2 linked regions of the Oreochromis niloticus genome follow. The protein of the gene in region 2 purifies or fractionates together with the protein of the main gene of each other region. This does not show direct contact. Links are inferred from orthologs where the notes say so. Each region holds a gene or a part of one and is shown on either strand. Other genes may lie near its edges.

The links.
Region 1: the proteins of ptpn18 (region 2) and pstpip2 purify together in Homo sapiens (affinity purification with mass spectrometry; 4 studies listed by BioGRID and IntAct, with this or other methods). This does not show direct contact. The link is inferred for Oreochromis niloticus from reciprocal best matches to the Homo sapiens genes PTPN18 and PSTPIP2.

What each region holds. Positions count from the first base shown.
Region 1 is NC_031972.2:17,157,530-17,167,580, reverse strand, and holds the start of pstpip2 (proline-serine-threonine phosphatase-interacting protein 2), read right to left. Parts: upstream 3,846-10,051; 5' UTR 3,734-3,845; coding exon 3,698-3,733; intron 2,921-3,697; coding exon 2,820-2,920; intron 786-2,819; coding exon 711-785; intron 1-710. UniProt on the Homo sapiens protein: Binds to F-actin. May be involved in regulation of the actin cytoskeleton.
Region 2 is NC_031984.2:3,703,445-3,713,426, forward strand, and holds the start of ptpn18 (tyrosine-protein phosphatase non-receptor type 18), read left to right. Parts: upstream 1-6,001; 5' UTR 6,002-6,091; coding exon 6,092-6,163; intron 6,164-9,982. Other genes in the region: gripap1 (GRIP1-associated protein 1), read right to left, coding at 1-97, 1,079-1,105, 1,277-1,338, 2,792-2,858, 4,401-4,448. UniProt on the Homo sapiens protein: Differentially dephosphorylate autophosphorylated tyrosine kinases which are known to be overexpressed in tumor tissues.

The sequences.
Region 1 (10,051 bases), on a different chromosome or scaffold from region 2:
CAGACAGTTCTGTCTGACTCTAAATAAAATGTTCAGTCAGATAGAACTACTAATGAAAGACAGTTATCTCTGACAGTTTCTCTAACTCTAAAAAAACAACACCAATCATTTGTCTAGAATAGATCAACTAAAATGCTGTAAATAACTATCAGAACAATGAAAGGACATCCTGACAACACATCCATTCTGTCTCCTTCTAACTGATCTCAAGGTTGCTTTAAAAACATAGATGAAAAATGCCTTTACTGCGGTTCAAGTAACTCCTTTGATAGGACATCTTTAAAAGACGAGTCTATCAATAATGCACTAAGATTTCATAAAGTAAATTATGTAGCTAAGTCGTTCCTTTCTATAATTAGTGCGAGCATTCATTAAACAGGAACTAGGCTTGCTAATAAAAGATCGTGGTAGCGGTGTCATATAAAATCTGACTACATCAACATTAATAACCAAACCGTCAATTTTACAGAAGTTCAAACTTAATTTCGAAATTCAACTTGTGAAACAGACTGAGAACAACAACAAGAACCTTTGGTGAATAGACTCATTGTTTTCTTTGACCTTACTTTCTGCACTACACCTGAGTCCAGACTACAAGGTACTGTGTCAGTACTGCAGAAACACACTCATGCATTAGATGGGGTGAGGCTTCCTGTAAATACAGCAGGCCAAGCACATAATAACAGCATATCAACACAGAGGTCGCTTACTTCATCTCACTGTGTCCACACACCTTCTTGGACAAACTAAGGAGTTCTTTGGCATACTTCTCTTCAACTGATGCCCTGAAAGAAACAACCCATTGAGAGTGAGGGCAGCGTAAAAGCATACATGCAAAGATTCGGCCAACAAACAGAACAGTCTGCCAGCCAACAGACTGTATATGAATTTACATGCAAAACCCATACTAGACATCTCTGAAAGGTAATGCTTTATCATAAATTTACATTTATACATCCCTTAGGCTTCACTATCAGTATTTTTTAGAAGTTATAAATTTACATATTAAATTATTAACTGATACAAAAAAGACAGGACAACATTTACATGTGTGGTGTTATAATTGGAGTCTGTTCTTTCTCTGAAGAGTTTTGACAGGAACATTGATGCAACGTTGGAGAAGAAAATGGAAAATAATTTATCAATTCTAATATGCATTGTACAATGATAAATATTAAAAAAAACATACATATAAATATACAACTGAATACAGTTTTACTATACAAATGCATGAGCATGCTATAATGCTGACCGCTTAAAATATGCTTAATTTGCTTATCAATGCTAATAGGAGACTTAAAATAAAATGCAACTCTAACAGACTCAAATATAATTACACAGCCACAGATCAAGATATAGTTAACACTATTTACAAAAAATCATAAAACATGCGACTCAAACAACCTAAACCAGGAAGTTCTCACACTAAGTTTGACCTGAGTCCTCCCTCCACACCGGCGGGCTGTCGTGGCTGCTCTTTGGTGTCCTGAAGAATTTGTTTTTGCATAACCGAAAGCTGAAAGAATTCGACTGTTGCCGCCGTTTCCCACAAAACACCTCATTCTGACCATGTTTCCTTACTCTACTTTTATTTTGGTAAATCTTCCCACAATTACTGTTAAAACCACTGCGGTTTAAAAATGGTGAGTCCCAAATTAGGAAACGTACAGTTATGTTTTGGCATAATATCCTCCTTTTTTCATAGCATTAACCTCACTAGGTCACGTTTCTGACTACACACTGGACTTTTATATGTGTGGAGTGTTTTTGTTTTTTTGGTATGCGTATGTGTGTGTGGGAGAGCACGGACAGATTAATTATTATAAGAGGAAGATGAATTAATGATTAGATGTGAAAGTTTATACGTCTCTATTATAAAACCTGATGCGTCACATCATTCCTGCTTGACTGGGACTTCATTTCTGCTCTACTGTGATCCACCGACGCATCACCCCTCCCTACCCCGGATCCAACGCCACCTCCAACGCTTACCTCCCCTCTGATGTGGACATCGGGTCAGTTGGAGGCGCAGTCGAAAGATTGCAGCTGTCCCAGATCAGATGTACACACTGGAACACTTTCCCATGTTGCTTGTCTGTGTTTATTGTGCTATGGTGTGTTGATATCTGTGCATTCCTGTATTATCCTTTTGTGTTACACATTTCGATGTTTATTTCCTCGCTACCTAGCCTGACCTGTCTCCCCAATGTGATGTTTGTGTATTGTATGTACGGTCGGCAAGGTCTGTCATCTCGGTTGCGGGCAAAAGACCTGCAACTGACAAATAAAGGCTATCTCATCATCTCTCATCTCATCAACAGTGTGCAGAATTAACCTTAGAGAATTTTTAGAAAGCAGAATTTTACTACTTTTCTGGTATTTAATCATATAACTGCGATAGTGCGCTTTGCACAAATTACAAGACGGTAGGACGTGTTTGTGTTTGACTGACTATATAATTAATAATCAAAATATGTATTTATCTGATTTTTTTTTTTAGATTATAGCAACTAAAATTTACTTTTTTAGGCAACTTTATTTGTTGTATTCCAGTACTGTCCTTAATCTCAAAATGCTCTAAATGCTGTCCTCCTCCACTACACTTGTCGTTCTTAGAGTTTATTTTCTTTTCACTCTCTTCATCCTAATTGCATGCCTGCAGCCAAAACCTGCACTACATCTACCTATCTTGCAGTCAGTTACATTGATAGCAACAACTGGCCTGTAAATGTAAAGCTTGAACACAGTTTTCCAGACTTTGGTTAGAGCCAAACATCCCATCAGTTGTGCATTATTATATATAAGGATGACGGCATTACCTGGCTTTCATGAAATCCTCCACCTCCTTGCATGTCCTCTTGCCATCATTGAGATACTGAATGATGGCATCATACCCGATAGTGGAGGTCAGGTCCGAGTTCTGTCAGCAAGATGCACAGACAGTATTACAGCAGACAGTTTTACAGCAAAGCACATATCTTAAAAGAAACAGAGAGCTGTACCTCTGCTACCTCTACTCCCACACCCAGGTTAACTGTAGGACAGCCACGCTCTGGCTAAACTTGTTTAAACATCCCTACAGACATAAACGAGCACTGTAGCTTCAGAATAATTGACTCTGAGTGTAATTAATGTTTGGGACTAGGCATCTCTGTAATTTAGTTAAGGTGAGGGCAACAGCTTATAATCAACTTGCCAGACTTTCTATTGGTTTAAAATACACCATATGAGGCCATACTTAGACAATGCAAAAATCCTGCAGTGAAATTTAACTACACATATTTGCTTATGTTGCGTAGAAGTTATTGGTACTCTCAGTATTTCCACTCTAATCTGCTGGATTATTCAGTTTACTCTTTACACCACTAAAGGAAATGACATTTACTATTTACACTGCAGAGAGAGAAACGTGATCTGATAAAACATTGGTCAGGTTACACATGACTGCATTACCAAAAACTCCCCATCAGTTCATATCAAGTGTTTTTAATAGCTTAGTTTTGATGCTCCTCTTTCCATACTATTTTACGAACGTTAGATCCCTCAACAGGATTCCCGTTTCTAATAATTAATACAATACAAAAATACAATTTTTTATTAAACCATCTGAAGCTGAATCAAAAAATAAAATGTTTCAAATTCCAATCACAACTTCACAGAAAGACAAACAAACAAAAAAGACAAGAAAAAACCTCACCCAGAAGAAATCCTTAAAATGAAGGTTCTTCATCATGTAAACGGAGCAGGCAGCAGACAGGCGCTTTATCGCAAGCACTCTCTGATCATGTAAGAGAAAGTGCCGACTGTCAGGCAAGAGCTGAGTCTGTCAGGCAAAGCCCGTCAAAGTGACGCAAGCGCAGTCACGTGACAACTGGAGCGCCAAAAACTTCATCGGATTCTTGCGCTGAGCTTGGTTTTGCCGCCATCTGATGGCTAATGGGCGTACTTACAGTGTTTACAGTTGGTATAAACTGGTCCGATAATAATAACAATAATAATAATAATAATAATAATAATGATAATATTAATATTAATAATAATGTTGAGAAGAACAACAAGAAGAAGAAAATACAACATGATTTAAGTAGTTCATTTGAGGGGGTTGATCCCTAACAACAAATAAAACTAAAGTAGTACACTGTAAGAAAACATATGAAATCCTAATTTGTAACGTAATCGGTAAATAGTGCTGTTAAATAAACACAGTGTAGACAAATAGGAAAACCTTACAGTGCTGTAATACCAGCAGTAGCACAGTAATGGATTAACTGCCCTTGAGCCTTTCACTGCTGAAGATTCAAAATAGCCCATGTTAATGAACAACCTCTTCAGCATCAGGGACAATCCATCATTGTCCCAAGGTGCAGGACTGAACTATCCCTTTCGATCCTTTCTATCGGTGGCTATTACACTGTGTAACTCCTAAATAACTAGAAACCAGATAGGATTCATATTTATGTTTGGATTTTATTTCATTGGTTTTATCTGTGTCGTGGTTTTTGTAGCTGGGCTTTATTCTGTCTTGATTCTTGTGCACATTAAAGGCACAAGAATTCTTATCATTCTACATGTGTTATTAATTAATATCAGTTAATAAGTTAATCAGTTACCTGAGTTGGCTTTAGTTTTACTTTTCAAAGGTTGTAAGGGTGCAGCGGTCATATGTAATTATATTAACTGTAGTGACACACAACTCTCGTTTATCATTTTCTTTTTAAACTACGTTGTACTTCAGGTCCCCGACAGCAGAGGGCAACATTTCGCTTTTACACAGCTGCAGTTACTTTTTATTTTTAAATAAATGAACTTTACTGAACAAACAACGAGTAGACAGCATACAAATAGATGAATTATACAAAAGAACAAACATGAACACTCAAAACAAGCTATGATGTCCTATTTCTCATAAATTTTAAAACATGCCACTTCAGAATTTCCCCATCACACGCCAGTCAGTATAGTTTGAGTATTTGTGTCACTTATTCATACAAGTATTAATGTGCATGTCTAGCATGTTGATCTCGGACAGGAAGTAATTAGACAGACAAAAAAGGAGGGGGTGTATCTTCACTCAAGTTTCTATATTATTCCAATATAAATTGATGTTTTGGATGTTCTGATTTACCAGCAAAGGAATTTCCAGTGTGGGTGCTTATGGAACAGCATTCCATAAGCACCAGTAGTACCAGTGTCACACAGATTTTTGATTTGAGCCCTGTAACACATTAAAAATCAGGCATGGGCTGCTGTGGGTTAGGGTCCTACACAGGTTAAACTTAACTCAGGGTAAGTTTAAACCCAGCTGACCTTAGCTTTACAGAGAATCCATTTACATGTTTTTGCTGTCTCACAAATTGACCATACAAATAAAATAAATTTTAATAATAATCTAATAAATCAAAATTTAATTCTTAATTTAAAATTTTTTCCACTTTAACCACATGAATACGACAGTTATAATATTATTGCTAATTTATAATATATAATAGGGAACAAGTGTTTAATATTTACATATAAATATATGCATACCTTTAGGTAAAGTTACATTTCCTAAGAATTTTTACATTAAATGATCTGAATTCACTTCAACCCAGATGGAATGAACGGCTTATTTAACGAACAGCTTGACTATTAATGTCACATCTGTGTACTCTTCATTTGTCACTATTTACACAAACAAAGGTCAAAGCCTGTCAACTTTTTTTTGTTCACACAAGCTACCTGCTCCCATCACAAATAACACAAGCACCGACTTCAAACCTACCCCTGAAAGCCCCCCAAAAAAGTCAGTGTGTTTTCCAATTTATTTATTTATTTCCACCAAAGCAATGTCACTCACACAAACCCCAACCATGAAGTGGAAGATTAATGGGGTGATTTCCTCTCAGAGACGTTGCAAAACAACACAAACTTTCATAAAAAAGGTCACAAGACTGCACAAGAGAGAAACCATGATAAGCCTGTTGATTTACATTCAAAACATATACTTGTACCTTAAGGACCTGGCAATAAAAGAAAACCTCAGAGGCCAATGCATTTTACAATGCTGTTATCAGCAGCAATGACACACCTGCTGTAACCATGTGACCACTGAGCTCTGTGGACAACTAGCAGCTGTGTGAAATGTGCAGTGGTGCCACTTAGATTTGCCCCATTTAAGTACGTTTACTGTAGTACAATAATAGTAGTAGTACAGTAATTAAAATATAAAGACATTTTCCCACTAACCTTTAAAATTGTTTTATTGCCATACAAGTACTATATATAGAGAGACATAAAAATATACATAGAATTATACCACTGTATACATATTTAGTATACTAATAAATGCCTGTTTCGTGTTATTGTTATGAAAGGAAAATGACAGGATCTGTTCAGCCTGTTGCTAAGTGGATACTGTCACATTCAGGTGTGTGGAGAAGAGAGAGAGGACCCAAATGCAGGACTCTCTGGCTGGTTTGGAATGGAGTAGGGATTTATTACAGAGACTGAACTGAACATGAATGACTTAACTACATTGGAAACACACACGAGGAGTTGAGGACAACGAGACAAGGAAACGAGGGCTTAAACAGACAGGATAACGGACAGGAAACAGGTGGGATCACAGCTGGAATAAATCTAACTAATGTCACAGGGGAAGTAGAACTAGACATAATGCAGACGAGACAAAAGACTATCACACTAACCAGGAAACATACATGGGAAACTAATCAATGACAAAAGTTGGGTCCAACACCCAGGTACCCTGACAGATACCAGGCAAGATGAGGGGATCATAAATATATCGTACATAATTTTTCACTTTCTATATGTTTTTTTTTTAAAAAAAAAAATGCAGAAATGTAATTTGAAATTTGCTCTCAATCTAAATTCGCTCTTAATTACATGGCCCTTTAAAGGAGGCCCATCATGTGTTTAGCAGCCACTAGGCTAAACTGCTGACTAGTTTACACCCTGTTAGTACAGGGTTGGGCCAGCTTCAGCCTTCAGTATGGCTTTATTAATTATTTGTGGCATAGAGGCTGGAAGCAGGATTAAAAGATTGGTACACTCTGGTCATCAAGACTCAGGCCAGGCAACACTTTTCGAATATTCTGTTGTCTAACCATGAAAAGCCACTGGGAGTTGAGGCCGGAATTTCCTCTTTTGCTTTAAGCTGAGTGGATATTTTCTCTTTCTCTTACTAAAACTCTAGAGATGGTGACGCGTGGGGAAATTCAAATAGATCAGCAGTCTTTGAAACTTCCAGGCCAGCTCATCTGGCACCAGCAACCACGTGACTTTTAAAGTCACTTTAACTTTCTTCCTTATTCTGATACTCGCTTTGACCTTTCACAGGTAGTCTTGACCTTGTCTGCATGGTAAATGCAATGAGTGCTGCCATGTGATTGGTTGGATGAGATATTGATGAGCAGCTGAACAGGTTTAATAAAGAGGTGTTGAATGTATATTAAAACCAGACCGACTAGCTATAACAGTAAACATTGTGGCATAGGTATTAACAGACCCATGATGCCACATACATTAAACATTTATATTGTGGTACTTTCAATAATCTAGATTTCTTAATCCTAAAGTTTGGACTTTAACTCAGTTCTCAAAAGCAAATACTTTTTCCTTAAATAAAGAAATAATACTGCAACTCTCTAAGCCGTCGTATCACCTGATTTTAAACAGCGGTATATTTTACAGGTACTTCCCATTTCGTACGAAAGGAGAAGGCATACCAAAACAAGTTCATGGCGCTTGTACTAAGCACAATGCAAATAATGCACTTTTAAGGAAGAAGCGCAATGCACATATCTTTGACTTCCACGTCACAAAGTTTTTCATCACCCTTTAGCGTAAACAGGTCACGTGCCCAGTGTGTGTAACGTGATTAGAGTGGTGTTGGCCTTGTTTGTTTTTGCATTAATTCAGTCACGGAAACTTGCGTGACACCGGTTAATGCAAGGTTTTGGTGTAAAGAAACATTTTCTCCAGCTTGTTGTTTTAAATATTCTGTGTTTGTGTTTATATAATACGTCCAATGATATCTGTCCTGTACATGGTGAACAGTGAACAGTGTTTCTAAATATCTAATCTTATCGGCCAGGAAACAAAATGTGGCTGTGAACTGTTGCCGTACATTCACTCTGTACTGTTTTCTTTATGGTTGGTTTGTGAGCTTTTTTCAGTTAACAAACTGGTCTGATGAAATGTTGCTTCGGTGGAACTGGTTCACATATTGTTTTGCTTTCTCTTTGATTTGGTTATGAGCTCATTCTAAGACTTCTAACTTTTTTAAAAAACATATGTACGTGTCAATTTCTATTGTCCGTGTTATTCTTAAATGTGACTTTCGAAATAAAGTATAGTGTAGGATATATATCTTTAGCAAAGTGAAAACATACTAAGTTTTAACCATTTTAACCTTTAACACTACTGATTAGACGCTCGTAAACAAAGTAGGAGGAGGAGGAAGTTGACTCGTGACCAACAGGGGATTTCTTTTTGAGTATGTGGCTGACGTATGTAACATGTTTAAAAGCCGGTCTGTGCTATCAATAGCTCAAACCTGTTTCTTAACATCAAGTCTCAACACTGTTTTGTAAGAAGCAAGACGATCCTTCTTGTTTTCGGACTATTATCTTTGAGAAAATGGCCAGCAAAGGTGAATATATAAACAGATCTGATTGAGGAAGTTTTAGTTAAGCCCGATATTTTACTAACAGATTGCGAGTAATCGACTGATATGATCTAACCGATGTCTTCTTCCCTCAGATAGACCCGTGGGTGCTGCTGCCGCTGTTGAACTCTGCGCACGCGAGCTTCGTCAAGCCGGCGATGAACTCTACTGGAAATACAAACTGCTGGAAATACTTATCAAGCACTACAAGACTGTCGCTAATGTCAAGTGAGACATGATGTGAGAGCTCATCAAGAGGAAGCGTGTACTATAAATCTGACTGGCCGTGAGCCTAACATTAAAGAGGAGTCTCATATATAGATTCATAACTGGTGGCAATATGGTAGCCGTAAGTGGGATGTACATATGTTTGTGGACACATCTTGCTGGAGTCGCTGGATTTGGACTGGCAGTGGACTCAAAGGAAGACAGGAGCTCTCCAGAGGAAAACTTGTGGGATGCTGTTGATCCGCCTGATACAGATCGGTGACGAATTGGGCCGAAGAGGAGCTTCAGAATGGATGATACCTGCTAAAGATGCTGATTGTCACATGTATATATACCGTATACTATCTGTGGACATTCATGCATGTTAGCTCTGTTAAAGGTTAAGCTGTAACATTTAGATTAACTGACTAAAGGAAATGACACTTGTGAATCTATAAATTCTGTGAATCTACTTAAAATGCATTTTAAAAAAATGTCAGCATAAGTGGAAGTGTGTCATGAATAGTTAATAAAAAGATATACATGCAGTAATTGTATTACTTGGTCATGTGTAGTATCTGTTTGTATCGTGGGTATGACAGAAAGCGGTTTGTGAATGTAGTTAAGAATATAAACAATGCGCATTTTCTATGATCAGAAAATGGTTAAAACTGAATTAGAAGGATTCCTGATGCTGGGTTTGTTATTAAATAGTATAAGCGCTGTGTTTTTAGTTATCCGAGACAACTGGTGTCAGGTTCTGTCTAATAAGAGCAGCTGACCTCAAGCAAACCTATGACTAGATTGAAAAGGGTTTCTAACTTCACATCCACAGCTATTGTGCCCACAGCAGACATGATTCTGAATTGTGGTAGGAGGCATGAAAACAACGAGTGTAACACCAAGTATCTTATTTCAATGTTAGGCAGCAATCACGTGTCTCTCTAGGAACCTGTTCTGATCTAAGATTTAGGGGAAAAAACAAAACAAATTGGACATGATTATCTGCTTACCAAGTGCTGCAAACCAAAGTAATCTGGAAACATTAGGCGTTTAAAAATCTTTTGGATTTCAAACATGTAGTTATGGCTCACAAGGCTTTACAGGTGTTGGAGTACATCAGCATGCAGCTGTCTTCCAGCTGTTCCACAATCCAGCCCAGGTTTAAGTCAA
Region 2 (9,982 bases):
CAGCCATCAGTGTGCTGTTCTGTAGTCTGAAATCTTCCTCCTGACTGTGGAGTTTCCCCTGAAGCATCTCGTTCTCACCCAGCAAAGCATCCACCTCCTACACACAGAGAAATAACACACAAAATAATACATTCAGAATAAAAAACTGACTACAGGTTACAGAAACTCCTACTGAGATCACCCACAAAGACAGACAGGCCAAACTTTGATGGAGAAATAAAATACAAGTGATAATAAAGTCCAGTATTTTGACATATTGTTACATCTCTGTCATTTCTTTGCAATTAAATCATCAAAACAGTGGCTGGTAAAAGGATTTCTGTGCCAAACAATGCGACAGAAACATAGTGGAATATGTTGCAGTCAGAGTGAATTAACACTTTCAGTGAAAACACTAAAGTGCCAAAAAGAGAAGACGTCAGAACCAGGTGAGAATAAACACAAACTTTAAAACCACAGTTCAGTCGTACTTCAGTTTTTCTTTAGAACAGAGAAATGACACGCGGCCAAAAGCTAAACTCTTATTTTTCTGATGCACTTCCAGTTCACCTGCTGCCTGACTGACCTTTAAACATTACAGCTTTCACCACAGCAGCAGAGCTTAAACAGCTCCCGTGGATGTGATGGTACAAGAAGATGTGATTACTCGATATTGCTGATGTTTGCACTGCGGTTTGCAGTCTCAGTTACAGAATTAACCTCCAATTAGCAGATTACTGGTGATAAAGAATTAAAGCCCTTTACACATCACGTTCTGTTGCACTGGTCCTGTGTGACTCTGGTTATTAGCTCAGATTAATGTTTCTTTATTGTCTTTGTAAAGTTACAACAACCTGTGAGTGGATGTGAACAAGAACAAAGTCTCCAGTGTTCAACAAACTAAAACTATAAATGTTAGACAAAGATGAGAGAAGGGCTCATTATGTTTCCTGCTTCTCAGGATACAGCTATATACAAAAATGTGAAAAATGTCTTCCTTCAACAATGACAAAATAAGGAACAATTGAAATGACATAACTGAAAAATGTTTACACAAGAAATTCACTGAGGTAACAATTATCACCAAACAACAGCTTACCTGAGCTTTCTTACTCTTACTCAAGGCCTGAAGAGAAGAAAAGCAGAAAAACATTTAATATAAATCAGCAGCATGAATAATAAAAAAAACTGAAGACAAGCTGTATTAGAAAATAAACCTCCAAATTCAGGTCAGCAGGTTAATTTTTTCCAATCACTCCTCTACAAAAACACTCCACAGTAATAAAGTGTTCGTTACCTTCTGTGCTTTGATAAAATCTCTTTCCAAAACCACATTCTTCTGACGGACGGCATTCAGCTCTGAAATGCACCAGGACGACATTTAATTATAGAAAGCACGCGTTTCCTCTTCAATAAAGTTTTACTGCTAACATGGGCCGATCAAATATTTATGCGATGAATAATTTCATGTACGTTAGTTGAAGTGGAGCCTGTACATTGACTGCATTTAAAGCCTGCTTGTATCCATGAATGTCAGGGTTGCGGGTAGATTCCCTCCTGTGTTTCCTCCTATATTTTGCATTTTCATAGACCATCTCATGTTCTGTTATTTTACTCTAGTGAAGGACCCTGCTTGCTTTCATGCTGTCTATGCTGTGATATGTACACACTTATCTGTGTGCAATTTATTCTGTGTGAATATGTACATTTTAAAAAGTGGGACAAATAAAAAATATCATTACTACTATTATTGGGCCATTGCACTTAAAATACTTCCTGCCTGAGCCTCTCCAAATCAGCTGTTTTATTTTTTAAATAATTATAATATATTTAACAAAGCAACGGAAATTTTTACCTTCATACCATGAATGAATGAATGAATAAATGATTTTGACCCAAAGGAATTGTGGCTAGAAAGAAGACCTTTTATATGCTGTAATTTTTTTTGTCCAGCCATGTAAATGTGTTTTTTAGCTCTAAAATTTTTCATGTGCTGGGAAAATAAGGCCAGAAATTTTTGACCCAAATCTCTGGGTTCTTGAGGGCCTGTTAGTCACGCCACTGATTCATTTTACACAGGACGGCTCTAAGTTAACTACACCAAAATCCTCCTCCGGCCTTACAGTGTTTCCAACTACACATGTTTATTTTATGACTTTTTAAAATCCAGCTAATCCCTGCCCTTTCAAACAAACAAAGATTCATCTATGCAGTCCTGTTTTCCTGGAATAATATGCAGACGGATCTGAAACGGCCGTAAACCGCCCCACAGTTAACAGTTCGCATCAGTCACTTGTAAAACCTGAGACAAAAGCTTCTTGGACAGTGTGTTTTCTCTAAAACTTGCAACAAAATGAGTTTGAAGCAGTTTTGACCTTGATCTTTTATTTTATATTTCATATAATCTCAATGTTGTGTTCTCTCTCATGCACTGTGTGACATTTGCACTTGTCCTCTAATGTCTCTTATAATGTCTGCTGCCCCGTTGGCAAGGTCACTCTTTTAACTTCAGTAAAACCTTCACCCGGACAAAAACTGCCCAGGTGAAGCAGGAAAACTGGTTTTAGGCTAAGGGTCTTCTAATCTGTGTGAATGTGTGTGTGAATGGGTGGATGACTGGATATGTAAAGCGCTTTGGGGTCCTTAGGGACCAGTAAAGCGCTATATAAATACAGGCCATTTACCATTTACCATAATCTGTGTTTTTAAAGATTCTGTTGCTTTAAAGAGCCTCTTGTGTGCTTGTGGTAATTTCAAGTGTTGATGAGATGAAACAGCAGGAACTAGAAGGACAAAGAGTGAAAGGTTTTACCTGCCGTGTTCTTCCTGAGATCATCAGACAGCTGGTAGTTCTGAGTCCGCAGCTCCAACAGCTGGGCCTGCACAAGCACGCGCACACACACACACACACGCACACACACACACACACACACACACACACCAGTATTAATTTATGACCAGCTTTACTTAGAAACTGCATGAACCATGTTGTGTTTTTGATTGGCCAGTAGGTATTTGCATCCCTTTTCAAAGGTCAACTGATGATGAGCTTATTTATCTTTTAACATGTAAATAAACTGATTACTGTGCTCCGCACTGTAACAAGCAGCAGCGTGGTGACCAGAGATCACTGAATGTCAGCAAGAGGCAAAATAACCGCTGGTTTATGCACAGGTGGTCCCACCCATCCTCAAAGAGTTAAAAACCTGGGACTCCATATCAGGTTTTAGAGCTGAAGATGCCCCTGAGATGAGAGATGAAATGTCTTCATGAACCAAGAAGTCGTCCAGCTGCCTTCAACTGAAACACTTAACACAAGCATAGTCGGATCCATCCCAGATATCCAGTTTCAAGAGGGCGACAAGAATACCCTGATCTTGAAGCTTTGTAGCAGGACTTCACAAACCAACGGGTGACATCACGGCAGCTACACCCACCCAAAATGCTGTTTATGCTCATTACAGAGCACTCTACTCTCTTGCCTAAATACACTCACTGCTGACACCAAAAAACACAACACTGGCCGTTCAAATGTAAAGTCCAAAACCAGCTGCTGACACTAGTGGCTACCTCCATCTTTTAGAAAGATCTTTCTTCCTAAATATTTCATAAACAGCATGATGTCCTGTAGGGACCCACCTTACTGGCCCAGAGGAGCCTTACAGCTGCATTTAAAGAGCCCTGCACACATGTTTATGTTTTAAGTACACCTTTCTATTCCTAACTGCATTTATTACAGAATAAAATAATGCGTTTACTACAGTATAATAGCTGTATTAACGGCTTTTTTGTGGTAAATATATTTGAACTCTTCCCTACTGCTGTTTACCATGTCAAGATTCCTGTTCTTACACTTTGTGTAACAACAGAGAACGACTCTATAAGTATATAGTCCTATTAAAGTGGTCAGGGAGGTCAGTGGTTAGTATGTTAACAGGTGTTTGAGCCTCCCGGCCCTGTCTCCGACACAGAGGAGCCCACGGGAGCCTGCCTCGGACCCCGTGACTCTCAGCAGGGCGAGAGTCCCTTGAATGCTAACATGTTAGCCCGCTGTCAGATAGAAATAACGGTTAGCATCAAAAATGCTACGCTGTGCTTTTCTTTACAGAGGGGGAGGCTAAGCTAGGCTAAGTGTTGAACTGAGCTCTCTCGTTGTGTCTGCTTCCTCCCCTTCTTAAGTGTATCGCCCGGAGGCATGTCAAAGCTCGGGCTGCCCGTTACCTTCCTGCCAACGTTAAATGAATAATGTCAGCCGAGCTAGCCGTTCTAACCGCTCCCACCTAGCAACGGCTCACGATTAGCAGACTGTGCTAACGCCCCTGGCAGTGATGCTGCACCGCACAGGTGTTTTTCACCACACTGACACCTACACGTGTGAGAGCCCAGCGACCCAAAAGAACAATCGCTGTAGTTTTTCTCACCTGCATCCGATGGAACTCCTCCTCGGACAGAGCCTGCGACATAGCCATGTTTACCTTCCCTGCTGCTGCGAGCTAGCAGGCTAAGCTAGCGGAGGAGGAGACGCAGCAGCTGACAGAGAGGAGGAGACAGGATGGAGGTTTCACTCTGACGCAGTTTCTGAGAACCGAGCAGCTGACAGAGAGGAGCCGCCATAACAGAGCGCTCACTCTGATGCTGTTTCCGAGAACTGAGGAGAAACCTCAATCACTACGAACTACATTTACTCAAGACCTGCGAATATTTCGAGGTCAGATTTTATATATAACAAAATATATTTATATTTCCATGTAAATATCATGAGAGATAACGAAATACGATCTTTGTTATAGATTATGTACTTTTGTTTAACAAGGCCAAATGAGTGGTGCCTTTACAAAATAATTCCAATAAATAAATTTAAAAACCTTTCACTCCCGCTTCTCACATGTGAGGACTTGCTGTTCTTTTCTTAAGGCTGTTGTTTGAATACTCAGCAAAACAAGCACTGCTAAGGTGTCATTTTAGGTTCTGGACAGCTGAAATCAATGTGCAATGGTGAGCCAGGGTCATTTTCATTACTGAATAAATGAATAAAGAAAATATCAGATCCAGAGTAATGGGAATTAGTTGTGTATGTGGCTCTGAGCCACTGGCTCATAATATATTCATGTTTAATTATGTTAATATGGATCAAAATTGTTGAGGAGTGTTCCCAGCACTCACTGAAGAAGGGAAAAGGTAGTCCAACCTTGTTCTTGTAAGGTGTCTGAGTGTATTTGGTGGCTTTTGCTACTATTGTTTTTAGGTGGGGCTGTAGCTCAGGAGGTAGCACAGGCCATAAAGGTTGGTGGTTTGAGCCCTGGCATACAAAACATCCTTGTTAGATAGAAAGCACTTAAGGACAGGAAAAGAAAAATGCTTATATGAGTGGGTGTGAATGAGGTGTGTTCAGGTAGAACAGAAAAGAGCTACACAAGATTGCCTCCAGTTTATGTGAGAGTGGTTATTCAACTTTTGAACTACATAAGTTAGATCTCTATCTAGTTACCTTTCTACGCCTGCTCGGCAAAAAGCAGAATTAATCACGTGTCCATCACAGTTCAGTGTTTTTAAACACGTGCCTATATCTTTCAGCTTCAGACAAGGCAGTGGTTTTAAATTCCACCTCTGTCAACACTTCTCTATCAAGAAAATCTATCTCTGCACACTGTCTGGTGAACACACAGGTGAAACAGGTTGCCTGACTGCATACATGGTATGCAGCCTGTGCCAGATTACTCACTAGCTGTGTGCTTCAGGAAGGAAATATATTTCTGTAACACACCAACGCTTTAAAATTCAGTGAAGTAACCAGTTGTAAAGTTTTTGTGATTTCTTTCAAACTGTGCACATACTTCCTTGTTCTCCAGTTCGGATAGAGAGAGAGCGAGAGAGAGGCTCAATTAGCTGGTGTTAAATTATTAACTGACAGACAGAGGCAGAACTGAGACACAGAGGGAAAGAGAGAACTAAGAGGTAGAGGTAGCGCGCGCGACAGAGAGAGAGAGAGAGAGAGAGAGAGAGAGAGAGGCTTATTTCAATTTCAGTTTTGGCTGATCAGCCTACAGCCAGGAGAGTAGAGTCAGTGAGGCGCACGAGCTCGGCTCAGGTGTTGGATGTTACTTGACTCGAGATGGAGCTGCTGCCCTCGCTGCTGTCCAGACTGAAGACAGTCGATCCCAGGACTGTGGATCAGGAGTACAGTGTGAGTGTTTGTTTTCATTCCTCAGTTTATGGAAAAGCCAGTTTGAGAGCTTTCACATCCTCGAGAATCTGGTCCAACGAAATAAAAGTGCAGTAATAATGCACTGTCAAGTTCAGATGACAATTGAGAACAGCTTGAGTAACTCTGAGGTTGAGCTTGAGGTTAGTTTTTCTCCTATACGTCACATTTTTACACAATGCACAAACTTCTGTATGTTGTGGACCTTTAACTTCGCTGCTTTTCATCTCTGTCAACGACTTCTTTTATGTGCTGCACTTTCCTGGAAATACCTGCCTCTGTTTTCAACTTTGACCCATCTAATCAAATGAGCTGCAGCCAATAATCAGATAAACTCAGTCACGTGAGGCTGGTGTGTGTAAAACATGCAAAGCTAAATAGGTTGAGTCTAACATGCACACCATATTAGGTTGTTTTCAGACTGAGGATACTCTTATTTTCATGAACGCCATCAGCACTGTACCCTGTTTTTAGTATTAAGCATTAACATTAATACATTAAGAGGGTCCTGAATTCTCTAAGAGCTCCAGCTTTTCCTCCACCTATTCAAAAACCTGCTTTATTAATCCTGCCTGTCTTCATTCAACACAAAGATTTGTGATTTCACTTCAGTTAAGTCTCAAAGACTTCAAACCGGATTTTGACAGGTTGTGCGGGTGTTCCTCAGGGGTCCAATCTCAGTCCATTTCTCTTCAAATTTTATTTTTAGAATAAACACCTGCAGTCCAGACCAGACAGAAACCAACTGTGCCATCAATTCTGCTTTTACAAACCTCACACGGGTCCAATAGTCCTCTTCATTGTCAGAAAGGTTATGACTCGGTCCGTCTTACGTCACACTCCTCTGTGTCACACTTTCAATTACACGGTACTCTTCAGCATGCCATTTAAAATGCAAAGGGTTAAGACGGTGAACATGCTTATCTGAACCCAAAATAAGACCTTTTTCTAATCTGAACCGAGTAACACTGGTGCCTTACCCTGACCAAACAGTAAGTGAAAACAAAAATGACGTTTCTTTTTAATTTTAGTATTTTATTAAGTTTATGTTTAGCCTCAGAGGTGAAACTCAGGCCAGTAAAATACTAAAAATAATTTCCAGTGGATCACAAAAGCCACAGCAACTGTGAGTTATCGGAACATGACAAAGAGACGAGACTCACTTCTGTAGGCGTTTCCAGGTTGACATCTTACCATGATCATACCAACAGACACACTTATGGTAACAGTACCAGCAAGGGTGTGATGGTCCAAACTCTCGTTTGATGTGCCAGATAGACACTGACAGAATATCGACTCATCCTCCTGAAAAAGCTGCAGGAACTAGATTTATATGCAGATGGCCAGTTTGCATATGATTGCAATCAGTCAAATTAGGTATTTTTCAGTGTCCTGGTCCTGCGTCTCTGACCCAGTATTCTGTGCTTGTTTTAGGCTTATTACTCATTTCTTTAGAATTAAGAGGTTTTCATGTTCTAGTTTTGTATTAGTTCTCTGTATGTGTCTCCAGCTTAACATTTCCTAGGGCCTTGTAGGTTTGTTATTGATCTTTCTAGTTCTTGGTTCTTGTTTTTTTTATGCAAGTTCCCTTTTGTTCCTTAATCTCTCCCAGTCTCGTCTGCGCCTTGTCATCGGCGTCTCCTGTGGAAGGCACTCCTGTTTCTGTGTTGTTACCCCCTCTCTCTCCCCGGTCATGTCCCCATGTCCGTCTGGTCTCCCAGAGTTCTGTCTCCATCGTTGTCTGGTTTCCCTGTTTGTTCCATCAAGTTTGTATAGCCTCTTTTCCATCACTACCTACTTGGATCAACTCGCCAGGGCGAGCTGGATTGACCAGTTTTCCATTACAATCGAGTGCCACGTAATGTGTGTGGTCATTGTCACAGTAATGCAGCCGAGGGTCCTGTGATTGAATTAGTATGGAACACGAACAGTACAACAAAGGTGGATGTCAAGGTGTGGATATACCTGCTGGTCAGTCTTTGGCTTTTCGTCAGACTCGGGGATCAAGGTGTTGTTTTTTGGGGGGGTTGTGGTAAATTCCCTCGTTTGTGGCTTTCAAAAATTTGAACTTGTCTTCCATCTGCATCTTCTAGGTCCACTTTGTGCTCTGTTCATGAATGAACCTGACCCCACTGCACAGTGTCCTTTATCCTGCTGTCTTTCCTAAGTGGCTGCTTGGATAAGAGACTCTTTAAAAACTTTGTGTAATGCCAGCTTCAAAGTCACATAAAATTTATGTCCAGAAACAAATCCAGCGTAATTATAAATTTAAATATCAGGTAACTGATCATTTTCTATTTTACTGTTGAATCAAACAAGGAAGCCTGCTTTTGCTAAAACAAACTGTTGACATTATCCAACCATCTATCATCTTATTTCTCTGTGAAAATCAAACTACATCCTTATTTTATAACATAAAACAAGAAGGAAATGCATTTTATTTGAGAGAACTGGCTAATTTATTTTACACCAGCAGGACGTACAATAACTCGGACTATAAATGCTTTAATGCTGTGGTCAGTCTGAAAGTCATGTATGTCGAGTGAGCACTGATCTTAAACTGCTCTAACTGTTTTACATTATTTAACATGTCAAAGCCAACCGTCCCGCTGTGGTGGAACAGCAGACGAGTGTCTGAAATATCAATGCTGAGAGATTTCCACCTTTGCTTTGTCTACAGCGCAGCGCGGTATTCGCTAATTAAGATGAGATGTTCTAGACTTCAAACTGATGCTGTCCTCTACTCTCAGGCTCAGTGATCAGAGGAACATCCAAACAATCCTCCCATATTCAGGACGGTGTTGTCCTCTAAACATGTGTTATTTATCGCCATATATTTAGGTACACATTACAACTCTTAGTCGAAACAATGATCATGGTGACATCGTGTAGCTGTTGCTGCTGAGCTGCAAGGAAACTGCAGCTTTCTGCTAATTTTCTTTAACTGTATTGAAACTTTTTTTAACGTTAGATTAATCAGTGTGAGGCGTATTTCATACTCCAATATTTAAAATGGTCACCCTGCTATTGTTTTCCTGTATCCTAATATCAGAGTACAATTCACACCTTTAGGTCCTTTTTTCTGCTACTTATTTAATCGGTGTGTGGCTGAGTCACATGGCCTGATTGGGCATTACATCCTGCGTGACTGGATCGAGTGAATAGTGATGTAAATTCACATGGTGCTGCTAAATTAATTATTTTGGGGCACGAAACGTATTTGTGTTCAGGGTAAGAAGCCTGTCACTTTGCTACTTCTGCTCTGCTCACATTTTTCTGAGATGAAATGAATTTAAACTCACAGTGAGGTTAGAAATGAGCAGAAACAACCTGCAGAGTTACTAAAAGCAGAGTTTAGTGTCAACATTACACTGAAACCATTCACCACAAAACACATACACACAAACAGCTGTGTTTTCATGACTTCAGGGGCCATGACACTAACTGATGTTCATTTCCTGGACAGCGAACCTTGGACTACAATAAAAATCCATCACGCTGTGGAATTTTATTCAAACCAAACATGTGAAAATGAAAACTTAAATTAAGTTTAGGTGTTTTCCTTTTTTTCTGCCTTTGAATTACTTCATCACTTATATAAAGTTACAATCTAAACATGGTTCAAATTTATTTTGTCTTCCTTCTATTTCAGAACTTGGTTTCATTTTTAGGCCAATATTCTTAAAATATCCAACATGAGCCAAGACTTATTTTCTGACATACATTTAGCTTAACCCACAGGCCTAGCTTTCTGTTTTTGTAGCTTTCGTAGGTAAAGCTGGTTAAAGCTGTTATTTGTTT